2 linked regions of the Daphnia pulex genome follow. The protein of the gene in region 2 purifies or fractionates together with the protein of the main gene of each other region. This does not show direct contact. Links are inferred from orthologs where the notes say so. Each region holds a gene or a part of one and is shown on either strand. Other genes may lie near its edges.

Region 1 (5,230 bases), on a different chromosome or scaffold from region 2:
TGTTGCCGCTGTTTGGCGAGACGATCTTGACGGGCGGAGCCGATTGCGGAGGCGGAGCCGGAACCGTGAAGCTCTTGAGCGGATGACCGAGTTGAGTGTTGCGTTTGGCATCGGCGACGGCCATGAGAGCCGACGACGGAGGTGCCATAGACGGCGGTTGGCCCACCATCATGGCCATATTACCTGGCGGCGGATGGACGAGACTGGAACGGCTGTCATAGCTGCCCTGACTTCCATAAGTCGGCTCTAATGGCGGAGCGCTGACGTCCACCGTCACGTGAGCCCGGCCGCCAGCAGAAGGTCCGGCCGACGGGTAAATTCCAGGGCGGGGCGCCGCCGGATAGACGGGCCGGGAGTCGCTGTGTTGATTCAGACTGCCGTTGGGGATCGGTGTCACCGTTGCCACAGCTGTTGGCCCGCGTGAGATAAAAAAAGAGAAGACAAACAAAATAAAAGTTTAGCAATCAACCGGTTCAGTTGCACATAAAAAGTAAATGGGACGACAACGACAACAACAACAACCGGATGAGAAAAATTTTTATGGGAAAATTATGAAAGCAGACGACAGGAAATAAGCAAAAGAAGACAATAAACGTACAGAAATAAAATTAAAGTTGGGAGGGGGAAAAAAATAAATAAAAACGTAAGAACTAAATTTGTAAAAATAAAATGAGCTCCAGAAGATTAATGAAACGACCAACAAAAGATAAAACAAAAAAAAAATTTTTAAAAGGAGGGGTAGAAACTGAAAAATCGGATAACGGTGTATACTCACGTTCGCGGACAGGTTGGGTGGTGGTAGCGACACTAATCAAAAGGCTCTTGGGTTTAATGGGACGCCTGAGTGAGTTGCTACTTCCTGCGTAGGGTTTTTTGTTTATTTTGTGTGTTTGTTTGTGTGTGGGATGGGCGGGCGGGGTAGTAGGAAAGCGAGTGCGGGTCATCAAGGGGATTTCAGTTGATTTTTTTTAATGCAGAGGTTAAAAAGAAAAAAAAATGCAAAATGATAAATAAATAAAAAAAAAATTAAAAACCAAACAGAAAAATCAAATAATTGCAGAGTTTCAACAGAACCGAGCAAAGCCATGCACAAATTAGATCAAAAATTAAAAATAATTCAAATAAACGAAACCAAAAAAAAAAGTAATAAGGCCAAAATCAAATGGAAAGCAGATTTCATCTAATGTGAACAAAGTTGACGGAAATGCAGAAAGAAAAAGACCAAAACGTCATCGACTGATGGCCATGTCTCCCCGACATACCTGCATAAGCTGTCACGTAAGCAGCCCGGCGATCGAGCGAGTCGTTGGCTGCCGTGCTGGGGCCACGACCGGCAGTTGATCCGGAGGCCATGCCGTCCAGGGAGTCCAGGTCTTGAGATCGGCGCATGTTGAGAGGTGAGACCGTGTTGACGGAGCCGGAACGGTGCAGGGATTTGTCTAATCCTTTCATCTCCATCTGGTCGTGATGGATCCAAAGGTCGGGTGGGTTGTCAGCCTTGCCCAGTTTGCCTGGACCTGGAAAAAATTTAAATTGTTAGTAATGATAACGATAATTTGACACAATCAAAGTCAAAAGAATTCTGGCCAGTTTTATTACCGCCTTTGACGTTGCCTTTGACGTAGCCTTTCTTGGAACGATCCGGAGAGTTGGTCACTCCGGAATCTCTGCGGCGGAAGACAACCACCAGCACGACAATGAGGAGGATGACTATGATACCAGTAGCGATACCCAGGATGATGTACAAGGTCATACTGGATATGCCTCGACTATCTGTTGAGTTGAAAAGGGACGGAGAAAAGAAAATGAAAAATTAAGAAAATTCCGGATGGATTAAAAGATTTCTATAAACTAAAAAAAAAAAAATGACTTTCAAATCAAATAATAATGAATGCAGGAATCATGCTGCTAAAGGAATTTACCTCTGCTAACCGGAGTAGCGTCGTGATAAGTCATACCGTTGCCTAAATTTTAAGACCACAGGGAAGGACGGTAAAATAAACAAAACGAGAAAAAAAAGGTTGAATAAAACAAATACTCGGATCATGCCAAACGATAATGAATCAATTGATAAAGACTACTAAGGGGAAAAATAACAATGAAATGCATCAACAAGCAAAATCAAATAATAAAACAATCAAAACGATTTAAAAAAAGAAATGAGCAATGACGTACTTGGATTGGTGCGGAATTGAATAATGCTGGAGAAAGGGCCGTATCCTTTGTTATTTCTGGCCTGGATTTTGATGAAGTATGCGGTATCTGGTGTCAGGCCTTTGATGGTCGTGGTCATCTTATCCCCGACGACACCTTCAACCACCCAGTCTCGATCACGCTGCGAGCTGTCTGTCGTGTAGAAGATGACGTAACCTGGAGAACAAGATTCATTCATTCGTATCATTTAATAACAAAAAAGAATTAGCCTCCTCCGATTCTTACCGGTAATTTGACCGTTGGGTTGCTTGGGCGGCTGCCAGTTCAAGTTAATGGCCGACGGATTCTCCTCGACCGGAACGACCGTCAGATCGCGTGGCGGCGACGAAGGAGCCGCTTCGAATGTTGTGTTTGGAACCACCAAACTCCAGGGACTTTCTCTACGATTCTATTTGAGATTTTAAAAAAATAAATTAAATAAACACTTTTCTCAAAATAATTTAAACAAATGTTTTTTACCTTGATGACTTTAACGGCGAATTCGAATTGAGTGTTGGGTTTCAAATCGTCCAGCATGCAATTGAGCACTGTCGAGTTCATGTAACGGTAGCGCGGATTGCTCGACGTGTGGCTCGAAGTGTACCTCACGACGTAGTACCGCGAGTCGGCGACAGTCTGAAAAAAACAGCAAAGAGAAATTTTCGGTTACAATTTTTTGGGGGAAAAAAGTAAAACCGCAATTTTTCCTTTCCCTTTCGACATTACACCAGAAATGAAAATGAAAGTTTCGTCCTTAAAACATTCAAAGTTGTTTGGCAATGGCCATTGCAATTTTAAAGTAGTATACCTGACTGCGAGGCAAGGTGGTATCCGTCCAGTAGAGGACGACGGTGGTCGACGACAACACAATGGCTTTCAATCCGACGGGCGGAATGAGGGGACTGGGCGGCTCGGGGGTTGATTCCTCGCGCGTCCGCACCGTCTCGTAGATGGGCCGCCCGTCTCCCATTTGATTGTAAGCCCTCAAACTGATGACGTACTCTGAATTGGCTTCCAGTTTCTCAATGACGAACGCCCGCTGCTTGCCGTCCACCAGTTTCGAATAAACGTCCGGAATGCCCTTGCCCCAGCCGATCGTGTAACCGCGGACCATGACGTTCTGGTTGCTGGGCGGATTCCACGAAACGCTAATCGAATTCGTCATCGGTCGAGCTGGATGGAGGTCAACCGAAAATTGTCACGTTTTAATCATCCGAAATCTGTTTGATGAATTTATCGGCCCGACCCGAGTTATTTATTCTTACCTCTCAATGAGCTGGGCGGCTCCGGCACTTGGCTCTCGTCCAGGTCGTTTTCGAAAGTTTCGGCCGTCATCCATTCAGTCATGGGACCGGAACCGTTGACAGTTAGGGCAGAGACACGAACTTGATACTCGGTCCCGCGCACGAGTCCAGTCAGCGTGTAAAGCCGTCGGCTGCCGTCCGTCGTGGCCGTCGACCCGGCGTTGGACGAGCCGGGATTCAAAGGCAAACGTCCACGCCCAGTTTTGGGCTTGTAACGGATCTTGTAGCCGGTGATGATGCCGTTCTGATTCTCCAACGACGGCGGCTCCCAGCGGACAATGACGCTCTGATTTTGAATGAATTAAAAACACAATTCAATTACAAATTTGAGCCGGAATTTAAAAAAATTAAAAAATAATTTCATACCGAAGAGCTGGCCGGTTCGACGACGACGTTCTGTGGCGTGTCGGATGGCAGATCGGACCAGGTCCTGGCGGTGGCCTCTTCGGTGCTGGTCCCGGGTCCATTGTCGTTGAAGGCGACGACCCAAACGGAATATTCCGTGTAGGGTTTCAGTCCGTGAATCAAGTGGCTCGTGTGACTCGTCACCACTTCGTGCTCCTCGGCCGACCCCACTTCCATGTAGAATAACTTGTAATTGCGGATGGGCAAGTGTTGTCCGCCGTGAGGAGCTCCTCCACCGGCGGCCGCCAGATCCGGCGACTCCCAGCTGGCCATCAAACTGACGGACGACACCGCCTGGACGCTCAAATTGGCCGGCGCTTGGAGGACGTGCGGCTCAACCAGAGTTTCCACTTCCAGTGAATTGGTGCTGGCTCCGGCTCCGGCTTCATTGAAAGCTGCCACCCGCAGTGAATACTTTTTGCCCGGCTGCAGTCCAGGGACGTTGACTTCTTCCAATCTCGATCGGCTCGTATTCACCACCCGTTCCCTGGGAGATTCAAAGTGAAAATGAAAATTGATTATCTAATCGAGCGGATACACAAAAAAAGGGGGGCCATTAGACGGGCCAAGTGGTTTGGTTGGTCCCTACCGCTCCGATCCTTCCTGTCGGTAGAAAATGGAGTAGCCAATAATTTGTCCGTTGGTCCTGACGGGCTCCTTCCATCTGAGCGTGACGAAGCGAGACGACACAATCAGGGCTTCCACATCCCTGGGCGCCGACGGCAGTGACGACGTTGACCCGTCGTTATTACCGTCGGGCGTGATCGAACCGTCCGTTTGGCTGGACTCGGACGTCTGGTCGGGTGGTGGCGGCACAGCAGCGGCAGCCTCGCGTGTCCCTGAGTCGGCAGTAGGAGATGTAGCCGTCGTCAAATCCATGCCAGGGTTAGCCGACGTGCCGTTGTCGTAATCTTATCATCATGCCCACGGCAATCATCGCCACAATTGCATGCCACATGGAGAGAGAGAGAACCAGGTGGGAAGGGAAAGGTGGACGGACACAAGGGGGAAATCAATTCAAAAAGAAAAAAGAAAAAAACAAATGTCAAAACATTGATCATGCAACACAAATAAAAAGGGCCGGCTCTCACGTTAATGGCCGGTTTTGGACAGAACACATAAAACAAAATGTGATAAATCATGCGGAATCTTTTAGTTGGGACGACGGACAGTTGAATGGGACGACGGAAGGGAAAATCAATTCATTTTCGTACCTGATGAATAGATGGTCAAACTGGCGGCGGCCTGGACATTGCCGGCCGGGTTGGAGCCGATACATTGGTAGATACCAAAGTCGGAGGCCACCAGACCTAAAATCTTCAAATTAT
Region 2 (6,530 bases):
GCAAGTATTCAGCTGCATTGCGGGAGATTGGTCCGTGATACCAAGAGTGTTTCTCTAGGGAATTGACAGCAGTCACATAGTTGGACGGGACCCAGCCGACCCTGCCCGAACCCGAATGAGCTTCGCACCATTCTCCACTTTTATTATAGCTCAGAATTTTCACTTGTTCGCCTACAGAATGATCATAATAATAATAAAAAAGAGATTTAAAAAATAAGGGGAAAAGAAAAAAATAACGTTTGAATGTCTGGTTGATATGAAAAAATTTTTAAAGCGGCACCTTTTTTCAAGCTGAGCTGGTTATCGCCGGAAGCTTGAAAGTCATAAAGAGCGACAAAGAGTTGCGGGTCTTCATCGTCGGGTTCGGTATGGAGCAGATTATCTCTCGACGTCCATCGGTGCGCCGATTCAAGGCTAAAGGTGGTACCGCAGTGGCCGCCTCCTAGTCCCGACGATCCGCCACCGTCCATGTCCAACGTGCCCGTCGCCAAGTCGGGCAGCGTTGGCAGTGGCCGGTTCTGCAACAATGCCTCTGTGTGACACACAATCGAGAAGGAAACAAAACAAAAAAAAAGAATAAAATACAATAAAAAGATAAAATAAATGAAAACACGAGAAACAAAAACAAAGGGAGAAATCAGAACGAAACATGCAAGATGTCTGACCCTCATATGGAAACTATTCAAACCGCTAGGCCAATGGCACGCAATGCCACAGTGTATGTAACGGTAATAAACAAGACAGGGCCGGTTTTTAATTCGCCCCTGTTCCAACAAGCTGCTGGCCTCATCTGTTGTGTGTCGTGTTCTTTTCTTTTTTTCTTTTCTTCCATATAATCCCCCCAGATACCGTCGTTAACGAAGGATTTGCATTAGAAATTGCTAGTTTTCAAAATAAGACATTGAAAAATCTTCACGTTTTGACCTCAGTTAACCGGTCGGACGTCACGGCACAACAGCTGTTCGGTAAGTATCTGTTTGTTCCACAACGGCTACCATTACAAGTTTCCCTAAAGTTGCCAACTACGCAAACTGTTGTTGTAGTCTCCGCATTTTTCACGATTAAATTGGCACTCCCCGACACGACTAGATCGTTTCTCTCGTTTCAAAAAACCAACAACAAAAAGTAGCGGACATGATTACACCAAAGTAGACGGGTTCATTGAGAGTAAATAAGTCAAATCTTCCGTGGCGGATAGGATCCGTTTCCAGAAATTCGACCCGCAGCATTTGGTCAGTACAAACAGGATCGAAAGGAATAAGTCAGGCGGAACATCAATAATAAGGTACAGCAGCCGATCAATAATGGCTGACTCTTGACTTTTTTTTTTTTTTTTACTTTTGCTTGTAACTTGTGAGGTTCTTACCAAGTCGAGGCTTGGCACCGGGAGGATAAAGGATCTGAAGGAGCCGCATGACCGAGGGCGGCAAGAGGGCGGGATTCGACATGGCGCAAACCGACCAAATCAGCAGCAGCGTCTTCTTTGACTCTTCTTCTTCTTCTTCTCTTTTTTGGCAATTTTTTGGGTTGGTTTTCACGAAAAAGGAACTTTGACCGAAACCAGATAACTACTTCTTCTTCTAGGCTGCACACTACAGTTCACTACACCTCACGCATAGAGCGAAAAAGGAGAGGGCGAGAAAGGACTGGATAATGTCCGTCCAGTGACGAGTAACTGGAGAGACTGAATTTCCCCTCATCTCCTTTTGCGGCTCGTGATTAGAACGAATCGTCGGTTGGACGAGGCACCACCGGTTATTTCTTTTTCCTCTTTTCTCTTTAATTCTTTTCTTTTTTGCGGTGGCCCCTTTCAGGTCCCTCCCACAGTCGACTCCTGAAACGCAGCACGACATCTGGCCGTCATTTTTCAGCGTTCCGGTCGCTGCTGGTCGAGAGAGAGACACACATACGAGCAACGCGTAGTGGTCCAGGGCACCCTGCATGCGATTTATCAAAATCGTCGTCGTTGTTGTTGTGGTTGTGTAGTAAGTGCACGGAAAAATCCCATTTTCTCAGCAATTGAAGAGAAATGTAATTTTTCTGACAGACAACAACAAGTCAAAGGAAATAAAACTTTCAAAACATGAATGAATGAATAAGAAACTGACGAGATTGCATCTGCCAATGGACACGGTTCTGGCGTCCAAGGCAATCTCACATGGCAGCTGGGAAAAATGATGAGGAAGCCAAGAAAAGAGCATCGCAGACCGAAATGCCAGATTTTTTTTTGTTTTGTTTTTTAGGACAACGTCCAGACGGTTTGTTAAAGAGCCTCGTCGTATCCGAAAGCTGCAATAATGCCATTCCGACAACACAACACAGACACACAAAGACTTAAAAGAGCGATTCTTGGCCCGTTCATTGGTGCGAGAGAGATGGGAGAACCGAGTCTCTTGTACACTAATCAGATTAAGTTGGGAATTTGTTTCTTTTTCTTTCGTTGGAACGGAAAGAGGCATCTGGAAGGAGGAAGACGGGCGCCATACCCGTGACTCCGGTCTCCAAACACTCTGAGTAATTGAACCTCCCCATGATTCTTCCTTCTTCTTCTTCTTCTTCGTCATCATCTATCACTCTTGGGAGTTGAAGGGGAGTTTTGGAGTTGTGTGTCAACCGAACGAACTATGTCAATTCTCACGGTTTCTCTCTTGATGCAAAGTTGGCACGATAGACGGAAAAGCCTGAACGAAAATCACCTGACAAACCGAGTCTCTCGTGGGTCGAATCATAAATAAATTATCTGACGTTCTCTGGCCTCGTGTGCATAATTTGAGTCGCACCAGTTCCAACAAGCGATTTCAGATCTGCATAGAAAGTAGGCGGACTGCCCTGTCACTATGGTGACAGATCAACCACAACAACACCTCACGGTGGCGAATGCAGACTGTGTGACCAATCAAATTGCATAATCTAGTCTATCGATTACGGAGCGATTCAGTAACCCAGGGGCGAATGTAGGTTAGCAGTAGGTTTGGTTTCCATGGCCTAGTAAAAACTCTAAAAGGAATGACAACAAGGGGGTTTTCATATTCACACTCTCAAGGTTGGATCGCTGCAAGTTGCAGTGGCATGAACTCATTTGACAGGAGCAAACAACCACATGCCTGGTTGACGGCACAAGAGTATCGTGGCAAGATAAACAGACAATTGACATACCATTGTGTTCGACAAACACATTGAAGGCCTGAGAACGAGTAGCTGAAGAGTTCTCCCTGGCCGGTCTCAAGGAGTTGGTTTTTGGCTTCACCGGTCTAGAACCAGCTGTAGATGTGAGGGTGAGCGAGTGCAGGGAGCCAGCTGCTGTGGATGTCCGCTCACGTTCCTTGCCTTGCTGGGCTCCCATTGCCCTGAATGTATGCACATCGCCAGCTGGGAAGAGCAGCAAACTGAAAGAGGATGAATCAGATGGTTATGTCTTGGGGTCAGGCTCTCTGCTGTGTGTGTGATGAATAATCCACTTACAGTCAAACTGGGCTATCAGTTCTGTCTAGATAGGTATCATTTGTGATGACAGGCGATGGAGACAAACGGCATAAACGAAACTGGAGTGTTACACTTTGAGGGTAAAAAAGACTATAGCAGACAAGAGCTATAGGCTTTTGTGTTGATTATTTCTTCCAAGGGCGACGGCACACACACACAACTATGCTGAATCCAGGTCTGATTAAAAACAAATACTGCGGCACACCCAAATTCCAATAAAACCCGATCAACAACGACTAATGTTTGTGACTTGAAAAACGAGGGTGTGTTTCTTTTTTGGTTTCAACGTCAACGGTGAACCGAGAAAACGTCTCGGACTAAAAAAGCTTCAAATACGAGAGACTTCACTCCAGCAGCCCCCGGTGTATGGCTGCCATAGTGCCATCTACAAAATTCAGCTCTAGCGGAACAGCGTTGCCGAACTCTGAATATTAAAAAGAGAAAAAGAAAAACAAGTTCGTCGTACTCGTTTCCTACTCTCATCAAATGTCACAGTTTCTTTTTTCACGAAACGGAAGACCCATGTAACCCGTCTCGTGTTGCTGTCTTTTTAATTATCATTGAGATTTCCTCCTTGTGTCTTCATATTAGAATACCAGTGGAAGAAGAAAAAGAGTCTAGCTCATTGTTACAGAGTTGCTGCTGTTGACGCCGGCGCGTTACACAATCGCGGTCGTTCGTTCGATTCGCTTTGCTGGAGATGCACGATGAGATATCTGGCGACTTTTAGATCTAGCGAACCCTGCTGCTGAACAAACAAATTACATCCAACTGTGTTCTAGTCTCTGCTCCGGGAAAAAAAAGAAAAGCTGATTGCTGAAGAACAAAAAAGTTGAGACCGCGAAGAAAGATTTGTGTTAAAATGCATTTATCTTTTCAACGCCGAGCAGCTGGAGATGCTGCTGACCTCGGGAAATCAAAGACTCTGACGAGTGACGATGTTCCTTTTGACTTTTGCTGGGTTCCTTTTCGTCTTTCTTGTGTAACACTAACGCGCTAATTAGGCACAGGGATTTTGTTATCTACCTCCAGACAATGTTCACACACACTGGCAACGACTCGAGCCCTCTCAGCTATAGGGCTCGTATATATAGATCGTTCCAGCTGGAACGTGCTGAGGCTATTCAACGGACAGGGAACCCCTCTCCCTTCCTCATCACTCGAAAAACTCCAAACCGACATTTTTGAATGACTGAGTGAGGGGGAGAGATATAGAGAGGAACTCTTTTGCTGCTGAAAGAGCTAGCTATTGTTAAGCAGGCCCCCAGTCTTTCTGAGCTACTTTGACTGGTTCAAATATAAACAGTCGTCTCTGTATAATACCTTCTGTTCTTTGTTAAAAAAAATCCCAGAAGCCTCATCGTTTTCCTGCCTTCCAACAATTTCAAATGAAACATTTCCAGCAGCTTTCAAAGTCATCGTGCGCAGATAATCACATTTCGCCCCCGTGAAGAAGAAGAATGTCATATCTAAAAGTTCTAAACGGATTGCAGCCGTCCTGAACGGGTCTCTCAAGATTGTGTAGTTGTCGGAAACATTGGAAGCGATAAAAACCCAACAAATTTGTATTCATTTCTGGTTTTTTCTTCTTCTGTTCGACACGTTTTTCTTGTCTATTTGGCACTTGGTAAAGGAAGATTGTCAGGACAACGGCACACATTATGTGACTTGTGTCAAGCTCATTTCCGCGTCTCTTGTGTATCGATTCTGCGCTAGCCGGATGACGTTTTCTGAACAAGCGTCTGATAGAGAATTCTTTCTGTCCCCATAAGAATGTGTACAGGAGATTCGGGGTTGGAATGTCAGCTGGGTTTTCTTGGCTCGTCCTGAGCGCACCCTGACGTAATATACCGCCCACTGGACACGGACCGTACAGTGCTGTAGCTGCAAGAGTTTTTCTTTTTAAAAAAGAAGTCGTTGTCAACATATTGTGGACCGTTGCCTTAATATATTGACATTACGTCAAATAACTCATTTCCAGGGTTGGAGAAGGGATGAACGAACCCCTTTTGCGGTATATTATGTTCTACGTGCCCTGGTTCTGAGCTTCTTCTTAGCTCTCCCTCGCATATTCAAAATATCCCGTTGATTCGACAACCCCCCGAGAAACATCTTTGGCTTCTTCTACTTGATAACTGTCGTGTTCACTTAAAAAAAATGAAGCAGGATATCGAGAAAGGTGAGGAGAGGATTCCCGGTCGCTGGAATCATTTCCCGGTTTTTGACTGGGGAAGGTCTTCCTTTTTCTCCCCCTTTTTCGTTTGTTTGCCAGAGAAAAACAACGCCACACAGTTTGTGCGTGTGTACCAACCGGTGCAAACGATCTTGTTTTAAACACATCGTGTCGTGTGTTGGCGTACGGATGTGTCCAAGAGAAACCTTAAGAACGAACGGTTGTTCTCGATTTTTTCATGCAAACAAACACGATTGTTTTTGTTTACGATTCGACTCCCCAGCGCCACCTATTGACTGACAGTTGAAACTTGCTCAAATGACCGCTAGATGTCTAAATCACCTGACCAAAAAAAAAAAGAATGGGCCGCGCGCAGGTTGGGAACTAAGCCAAAAGGCAAGAGACACCCAGAATGTGTGTGTATAGTGTTCTGAGGCAGAACGTGTCCGGACCGTTGTCGTTCGTGAGCTGCAAGACCGAACTGAAGGCGGCGGCAGAGACCAGAGTGGGTTGGTGTGTTGTTGGTGTGTGCTGCAGCTCCACTCGTTGCCCCCTTTTATTTTTATGAAAAACCACGTCGTCCGAGGTCACATGAACTAGCGGTCTCTTAACATTTCTGTGACTCGTCTGCTATCCTGCAACTCCATATACACACACACCTTGATTCAACAACATCTTTAGTCCAGCCACCATCCAGACAAAGACCACATCTTAAGGTGAGTGTCCACACCAACATTATTGTTTCATTTTCTTGGCTTATCTTGTTCTGTGTTTGGCCGAGTCGAACGTTTTTTGAGCCGTTGTGCGAGTTCACTCACCTGACGGAAAGCGTCCAAAAGAGGCTAGAAAGGGAGGGAAAGGTAGAAACAGTTTT

The links.
Region 1: the proteins of tyrosine-protein kinase ABL1-like (region 2) and neogenin-like purify together in Drosophila melanogaster (affinity purification with western blotting; 3 studies listed by BioGRID). This does not show direct contact. The link is inferred for Daphnia pulex from reciprocal best matches to the Drosophila melanogaster genes Abl and fra.

The regions. Positions count from the first base shown.
Region 1 is NC_060026.1:12,668,951-12,674,180, forward strand, and holds part of neogenin-like, read right to left. Parts: coding exon 5,117-5,230; intron 4,814-5,116; coding exon 4,492-4,813; intron 4,390-4,491; coding exon 3,864-4,389; intron 3,784-3,863; coding exon 3,459-3,783; intron 3,367-3,458; coding exon 3,002-3,366; intron 2,830-3,001; coding exon 2,674-2,829; intron 2,603-2,673; coding exon 2,440-2,602; intron 2,371-2,439; coding exon 2,176-2,370; intron 1,965-2,175; coding exon 1,923-1,964; intron 1,774-1,922; coding exon 1,600-1,773; intron 1,518-1,599; coding exon 1,263-1,517; intron 860-1,262; coding exon 776-859; intron 409-775; coding exon 1-408.
Region 2 is NC_060021.1:8,612,408-8,618,937, forward strand, and holds the start of tyrosine-protein kinase ABL1-like, read right to left. Parts: upstream 3,885-6,530; 5' UTR 3,463-3,884; intron 3,387-3,462; 5' UTR 3,344-3,386; coding exon 3,157-3,343; intron 3,142-3,156; exon of another isoform or gene 1,449-3,141; coding exon of another isoform or gene 1,367-1,448; intron 533-1,366; coding exon 281-532; intron 172-280; coding exon 1-171. UniProt on the Drosophila melanogaster protein: Arm and Abl proteins function cooperatively at adherens junctions in both the CNS and epidermis; critical for embryonic epithelial morphogenesis regulating cell shape changes and cell migration.